Linked DNA regions of Canis lupus familiaris. The protein of the gene in region 2 interacts with the protein of the main gene of each other region in a biochemical or structural test. Links are inferred from orthologs where the notes say so. Each region holds a gene or a part of one and is shown on either strand. Other genes may lie near its edges. The genes, in order: FGF19 and FGFR4.

Evidence for each region.
Region 1: the proteins of FGFR4 (region 2) and FGF19 form a complex in vitro, tested with the Homo sapiens proteins (2 studies listed by BioGRID and IntAct). The link is inferred for Canis lupus familiaris from reciprocal best matches to the Homo sapiens genes FGFR4 and FGF19.

Annotation. Positions count from the first base shown.
Region 1 is NC_049239.1:48,923,840-48,926,733, forward strand, and holds the end of FGF19 (fibroblast growth factor 19), read left to right. Parts: intron 1-752; coding exon 753-1,067; 3' UTR 1,068-2,207; downstream 2,208-2,894. UniProt on the Homo sapiens protein: Involved in the suppression of bile acid biosynthesis through down-regulation of CYP7A1 expression, following positive regulation of the JNK and ERK1/2 cascades. Stimulates glucose uptake in adipocytes. Activity requires the presence of KLB and FGFR4.
Region 2 is NC_049225.1:37,138,192-37,142,758, reverse strand, and holds the start of FGFR4 (fibroblast growth factor receptor 4), read left to right. Parts: upstream 1-1,548; 5' UTR 1,549-1,732; intron 1,733-2,001; exon of another isoform or gene 2,002-2,132; intron 2,133-2,254; exon of another isoform or gene 2,255-2,387; intron 2,388-4,283; exon of another isoform or gene 4,284-4,287; 5' UTR 4,288-4,336; coding exon 4,337-4,427; intron 4,428-4,567. UniProt on the Homo sapiens protein: Tyrosine-protein kinase that acts as a cell-surface receptor for fibroblast growth factors and plays a role in the regulation of cell proliferation, differentiation and migration, and in regulation of lipid metabolism, bile acid biosynthesis, glucose uptake, vitamin D metabolism and phosphate homeostasis.

The DNA.
Region 1 (2,894 bases), on a different chromosome or scaffold from region 2:
TCATGTCAATAGTTCTATGTTTGCTGTAAAGGGTGAGGGACAGAGGCACCCATGTTGCACCTCTGATTTGATGCATATTGCTCAGAACAAGGCTAAGTTTAAGAAGTGACATGATTTAGTGAGAGATATAAAAGATCCATGAAAAGTATATACAGATACTGAGTACACACATGAAATACGCACCTGAAGTATGTGTGTATATGAAGGCATATAAAACACCTATTAATATGTATAAATTTATACTTACAAAGTATATATAATGCGGTATGTAACTTTAATGTTATAATTTATTACATTTCTTTTTTTAAAAAAGATTTTATTTATTTATTCATGAGAGACAGAGAGAGAGAGAGAGAGAGAGAGACAGAGACACAGGCAGAGGGAGAAGAAGGCTCCATGCAGGGAGCCAGACATGGGACTCGATCCCTGGTCTTCAGGATCACACCTTGGGCTGCAGGCGGCGCTAAACCGCTGAGCCACCCCGGCTGCCCAATTTATTACATTTTTATATTAGCATATGCACAATGTGTTTATTAATATAATGTAATGCCTACTTTATAGAAGTACACATTTACATATATAAACACGTACGTTATGCTATGTATAACTACACACACAGATAAACACGGCTCATCATGTGGACCCAAGTGGCAACATGTAGCACAAATGCTCACCAGTGCCCGTTTTCTCTGCTGCTTCTGGAGCACCAGGGGGCTCCCACTGGTGCTCATGGTTGCCTGTTTTCTCCACAGCCTCAGTACTCCGCCGGAGACTGTACTTTCGAGGAGGAGATCCGTCCCGATGGCTACAATGTGTACTGGTCCAAGAAGCACCATCTCCCCATCTCTCTGAGTAGTGCCAAACAGAGGCAGCTCTACAAGGGCAGGGGCTTTTTGCCCCTGTCCCACTTCTTACCTATCTTGCCCGGGAGCCCAACAGAGCCCAGGGACCTGGAAGACCATGTGGAGTCTGACGGGTTTTCTGCATCCCTGGAAACAGACAGCATGGACCCTTTTGGGATCGCCACCAAAATTGGACTAGTGAAGAGTCCCAGTTTCCAAAAATAAGTGGGGCTGTGGCCTGACCTCCCACCCCTGCCCCCAGCCCTTAGAGGCCAGGACCCCAGACGTGTGGTGGGTTCTGGCTGTGCTTCTACAAATACGATCCTGGGCTCGTGTTCCAGTTAGCTTTAGGAAGAGACATCTAGAGCTTGTACATGTACAGAGTTTTCCATCGGCTATGCCAGTTCCTAGCAGATAGACTTGTATGATCATAAAATCATAAGCCCTCCACCCTGCACCTTTGCCATTGCTGGACAGTTTGCTGTGGTGCCCTGATTCTGCTTGAATACCTCCACTGGCCGGGAACTCACTACCTTTGGGAACGTTCTCTCCCATCATTTCTAGCAGGGGCAGCCAGGAAAAAAGCGGTCATTTTAAACTCACGTATAGGTGATCAGCTTTGTGAAAACTTACCAGGACAGAACTGACCGGGCATGGGCATACCTCACCAGGCTTCAGGAACTGGGAGAACCCAGAGCCCGGGAAAACTTTTAAGAACTCCCCACTACGGCTGGTTCTGGGATAGATCACCTTCATCGGACTACTTGGCAGTCTGCCTGCCCCCCCCACCTTGACCACCAGTGCCCTGCACATAGCCAACATTTGCTAAGGCTCAGGCTGATTCCCCTAAATGAATGGGCACCTACTGAGAGGGACAGGACACGAGGACAGCCCCAGCAGCCCTTGCCATCACAATGCAGGTTTCCACAGGATCCCATCTCTGGACGTGTGGGTTTCACATGATTGCCCCTCAGGACAGAACCTTCCTGGTCTCGGCGACGCTGCGGCTCTGGCGTGTTCCCTCCTTTCTTAAGCACCAAGGATTCCAAGAAGAGTGGAGCAGATGTGGCTTCTGGGGCTCCTTCCCCTTTCCTAGCCCTTCGCTGGGCACCACGTCTTCCTATGCAGCAGAACTTGGCAGCCTCCCACCTTGGGTAGACCTGCACATCTCGTTCAAAAGCCAGGAAAGTTTGGATTCGCAAGCCCGGAATCTTGCCAGTAACTTGCGGAAGCAGCGGGGAGAGAGCCCCTTCCCCCAGCACTTAGTTCAACAACGTGGTATTTATGAGTAATTTATTTTGTTTGATATGTACATCTCTCTATTTTCTTACTTTATTTATACTCCTAAGTTGTATTTATGATGTACGTGAGTTTTTTGTTTTCTACATTAAAGCACAATTTGTACCAAAAGTTGCATTTCATTATCCAATTGGATGCCCTCGAGGGAGAGCGGGAAGGGGAGGGAAGGGAAACAGACCTTGGCGCTGAGCTCAGAGGAGAGGCTTTGGGTGTTTGCTGCATTTAAAACTACACTTTCTGCCAAAGCTCACAGTCATTGCAACCACCCTCTAAGCTGAGGCTCTGGTGGGTCGAATAGTAGATTCGGTTTACCCAGTGGTGGAAGCTGCGTGGACCTGGGTGCAGGCTTCCTTCTACTACCTCTGCTAGGACTCTGCATGGTTACCTCAGCCACAGCATAGGGGTGTGTCAGGTGTAGGAACCAAACCCCAGCTAGTAGTGTCACCCTCTGCATGTTGACACTTGGGGCCACGTAGCTCTTTGCTGGGGTCAGGTGTTCCTGAGTGAGCTAGGATGATCAACAGTGACCCTGGCCTCTCCATCCACTAGATGCCAGTAGCATCCCCTCATTATGACAACCACAAATTGCGGAAGAAGTTGCTGCATGTCTTTAGGCAAAATTCCCCAACTGGCTGTTCATTCTAGAGAAAATCATGGGCTTTTCTGAGCCTTGATTTCCTCATCTGTAATATGGGATGAGGATGGAGAGAGCAGTAATGACGGGAGCAGCCACGCAGTGCCTGGTGTGGACAA
Region 2 (4,567 bases):
TGTGTGTAAAGGCCAAGAGGGTAGAATGGGAGCAAGGAAGAATGAAGGACTTGTCTGGAGATGTGGACAGGGGCCAGGTCATGCCAAGAATCATTATGGGAAGCTAGTAGAAAGTTTTAAAGGAGTAGTAGATACATTCAGATTTGTATTTCCTTTTTTTCTTTTTTTAAGATTTTATTTTTGGGGGATCCCTGGGTGGCGCAGCGGTTTGCCACCTGCCTTTGGCCCAGGAGACCTGGGATCGAATCCCATATCAGGCTCCCGGTGCATGGAGTCTGCTTCTCCCTCTGTCTATGTCTCTGCCTCTCTCTCTCTCTGTGACTATCATAAATAAATAAAAATTTAACAACAAAAAAAAAAGATTTTATTTTTAAGGGGCGCCTGGGTGGCTCAGTTGGTTAAGTGTCTGACTTGGCTTAGGTCATGATCTCAGTGCCTGGGATCCATCCGAGTATTGCTCCCTGCTCAGTGAGAAGTCTACTTGTTCCTCTCCTTTTGCCCTTCCCCCCTCAAATAAATAAAATGTTTAAAATTTTTATTTTATATTTTTATTTTTATTTAATTTTATTTTATTTTATATTTTTTAAAGATTTTATTTATTTGAAACAGCACAGGGAGAAAGGTCAGAGGGAGAGGGAGAAACAGACTCCCCGCTAAGCAGGGAGCCCATCTTTGGGCTCTATCCCAGGACCTTCGGATCACACCTGAGCTGAAGGCAGACGCTTAACCAATTGAGCCACCCAGGCGCCCCAAAAGATTTTTTTAAGAGTTTATTTATTTGTTCATGAGAGACACAGAGAGAGGCAGAGCCAGGCAGAGGGAGAAGCAGGCTCCATGCAGGGAGCCCGATGTGGGACTCAATCCCGGGTCTCCAGGATCACGCCCTGGGCAGAACGCAGGCGCTAAACCGCTGAGCCACCCAGTGATTCCCCAAAAGATTTTATTTTTAAGTAATCTCTACACCCAACGTGGGGTTCAAACTCACAACCCCCGGATCAAAAGTCGCATGCCCTACTGACTGAGCCACTCCACTGACTGAACCAGCCAGCCAGGCGCCTCCAGATTTCAAATATCACTCTAAGTTTGTGCAGAGAATGGATGGGAGTGGGTGGGAGCAGACGGGGGTCTCCTAGCCACTGTTTGGTGATTGCACAGAAAACAAGAGTAGCCAGGTTGGGCCAGAGTCTGTAGGGGCTAGCGGGTCAGGACTGCTGGGTGTTACCCTCTAAAAGGGGTGAAGAGCAGAGGTTGGCGCAAAGAACCAGAACCTGGAAGCCTGGTCTAGGTGTGGCAAAGGAGGCGGAGTCTGATGGGGTGTGTAGCAGGCTGAGGTAGGACCCCGGGATCACGCTGGCCCAGTTGGCCATTAGGCTTTGTTGGGTTTGGGGACTGGTCTCCAGGGGGCCGGACGCCGCGTCCCCGTCGTCTCGATAGAGCGGGTCCGGAGGGGCCGGAGATGGGCGGGCGCCGGGTGGTCCTCCCCCAGCCGCGGTCGGGATGGAGCTGGTCCAGGAGGGGCGGGGCCCGGGGTGGGCGGGGCCTGGGCCTCCCGCGGCCACGCCGCTGTCGCGGGTGCATTCCTGACTCTGGCCCCGGGCGGAGGAGCGCCCCGGCTGAGTCTGCGGTCCCCGCTGGGCGCGGGTGTCGCGACTAGCCGGAGCCGGGAGCGGGGCCGAGGAGGGCCCAGGTGAGCTGGGACCCTGTGTCTGGAGCGGGACCACGGAGGCTCGAGGTGAGCGGGACCCCTTGCGGGCTCGGGCTGCGCTCCCCGCCGCCAGAGGGCGAGCGGCAGCGGGGCTCGCGGAGCTGCCCCCTCCTGGCACTGGGGACCTGGGCGTCCTCTAGGAAGGGGGGTGGAGGAGAGGGTAAATCAGTAACCCGCAGCGCACACAGGGCCTTTTGTCCCGCTCCGTCCAAAGAGCACCCTGGCCGTGGAGCTGGTTACTCATTGCCCACCGGGGCGGGGGCGGGGGCGGGGCGGCTGTCCCTGCAGCTCCCCCTCCGGACCTGCCGACTCGCACCTCCCCCCAGGGTGGCCGGGTAAGGGTGGAGAAAGAAGAGCGCGCTGGTCCCTCGGCTGCCAGGCCGTCTGCGTTCCCCGAGTAGAGATGAGGAAGCTGAGGATCCGAGAGGTGCAGTCATTTGCCCAGGGCCCCCCTGCGCTCCTCCCTCCAGCCGGAGGAGAACCCAGGACTGTCTGATTGTGTGTAGATCCTTCAGCCCCTGAGTAAGGCGGTGGGTTGGTCTGTCAGAGGCCACGTGTGATCCGACTAAGGGTTACAAGGTCCGAGCAGCCTGGGTATAGGAATAAAATCCCCAGGTCTCCCTGACCCTCTCCCAGCTCGAGGTGTAGACCCAGAGGGCTGCTTCCCCTGCAGCAGAGCAAGGTGAGGTGATTCTATGGAGGAGGGCCATGGAAACTGGGGGTGGGTGCAGGAACAGTGGCATCTAAGTCAGGTGGAGAGGAGAAATGGGGACACAGAGGTGTGTCTGCGCAAGAGAGAAGACATGCCCAGTTTTGAAAGCCAATGGCTTCAGTGCTGAAGATGCTGAAGGAGCAGACTGTACAACCGAAGATACCCACAAGAGTAGGGAGGGAGGCCTAGAATGCTGGATGAACTATAGATTGGATCCTGCAGGACATGGGTAGCCATTAAGGGCTTAAAAGCTGGGGGATATGGGGTGGTGACATGGCAGATTCTTGTGATTTCTAAAGCCCTGCAAGAGAGCAGAGCCTGGAGTGCCAAGGGAGACATTTGCAAAGGCCCAAGCCAGAGATGACTATGGCCTGCCCTGGGTCCAAGCAAGGGAGGTGGGATGGACTGGAGAAGGATTGAGGAGGCAGATGGACTGGAAGTGGAGGGAAGGGGGAAGGGGGATGGGAAGAGATGATGCCCCAGCTGCAGGGGCAACCCAGGGAAGGAGCAGGGTTGTTTGGTTTTTTGTTAAGATTTATTTTATTCATGAAAGACACAGAGAGAGAGAGAGAGAGAGAGAGAGACATAGGCAGAGGGCGAAGCAGGATGCTTGCAGAGAGCCCGATGCAGGACTCGATCCCAGATCCCGGGATCAGACCCTGAGCTGAAGGCAGACGCTCAACCGCTAAGCCACCCAGCATCCCGGGAAGGAGCAGTTTGAAGGGGTAGATGACAGCTTTGGTCAGGACAGGTGAAGTGCTCCCTGCCTCAGAACCAGAGCTGGAAATGGGGCAGTGACTGAAGAGAAAGGGTGCAGTGGGCTTCCTGGGCAAGGTAGATTCAGAGACACCAGTGTCTCCTGACTGTTAATGAGTTCCAGGTAATAGCCAGTGGTCCCCTGGGACTACATTGGTCACCTCTTCCCCTGCCCCAGCTGAGACTGTTTTGAGTGTTCCTTCTGGGGGATGGGGAGACATCTTTGGTGTCAGAAGAATAGGGTGGGTGTGTGATACCTGACAAGAACTGCACCAGAATTGGAGGTAATTGGCCAAAGGTAGACCTGGGGTGACAGTCATGGAGAGGGAAGGGAAGAACGTTCCAACATTCTGTGTTCCCAGCCCCTACATATGGTCTCTTTTATCCTCAAAGCAGTCCTTTAAAGATAGCATCCAGAGAGGAACAGGAACTTGCAAGTTGGTAAGAGTCCGGATTTGAACTTGGCTTTGTCAGACATAGAGCCCAAGTCACCTCAAATGGAGTTGTGAGGACACAAAAAACAGATGCATTCCCAAGCGTGCAATTCTGGTTCAGAATGAGGAAGAACTTCTCTTGCCATGGAATGTGCTGCTTTGTTAGTAGTGAGTGCGCTGTCACTGAAGGTATTCAAAGCTGGTCAGGAAAATGTCAGCAATGCTATAAGAAGTGTGGGTCAGATCAGATAACATCCAGATGCTAAAGTTTGGCCTTGTATTATATTTCTTTTTTTCCTTTTTTGAGGGGTGGAGTTCTTCAGCAATAAATTCATTTATTCAGCAAAAAATAAATTACGTGTGCTGAGAGTGAGCAGAAGATATGTCTCCTTTTTCTGCTTTCCTCCAAGGAAAGAATCCCCAAACTGCCCTTTCTGTGAACCTGTGCCAGAGTCTCAGCAGGACTGGAGGAGAGCAGGAAGCCCAGCCCTGCCCCCTGAAGAAGCTTTGGGCTCTGGCCACAGCTTTTAGTCTCTGCCTTGCTGCTGCGTGATGGCGGGGAGGGCAAGGCTTGGACAAGTCCTGGCCACTTCCTGTCTCAGTTTCTTCATCCACAAAATAGGAGAATGGCAATGCGAAATGTGCAGATCTATCAGAAGTTCTCCCTCCCTTTCAGGAAGGCAGTTGGTGGTAAGCCCAGCCTGGGTCCTTGTGATCAGCAGGAAGGACATGTGGCTGCTGTTGGCCCTGTTGGGGGTCCTGGTGGAGGTGCCTGGGGCTCCAGCTTTGTCCCTTGAAGCCTCTGAGGAAATAGAACTAGGTATGGCCTTTAAGGTGGTAGAGGGTGGGCTCGGTGGGCACATGGAGGGAGCTACTAGCTGAGCAAAGCTGGAAAGGATCCTGGCCCAGTCCCTGAGGAGGTGACAGCAGGGCAGGGCCCAACCATTGAGACTCAGTGTC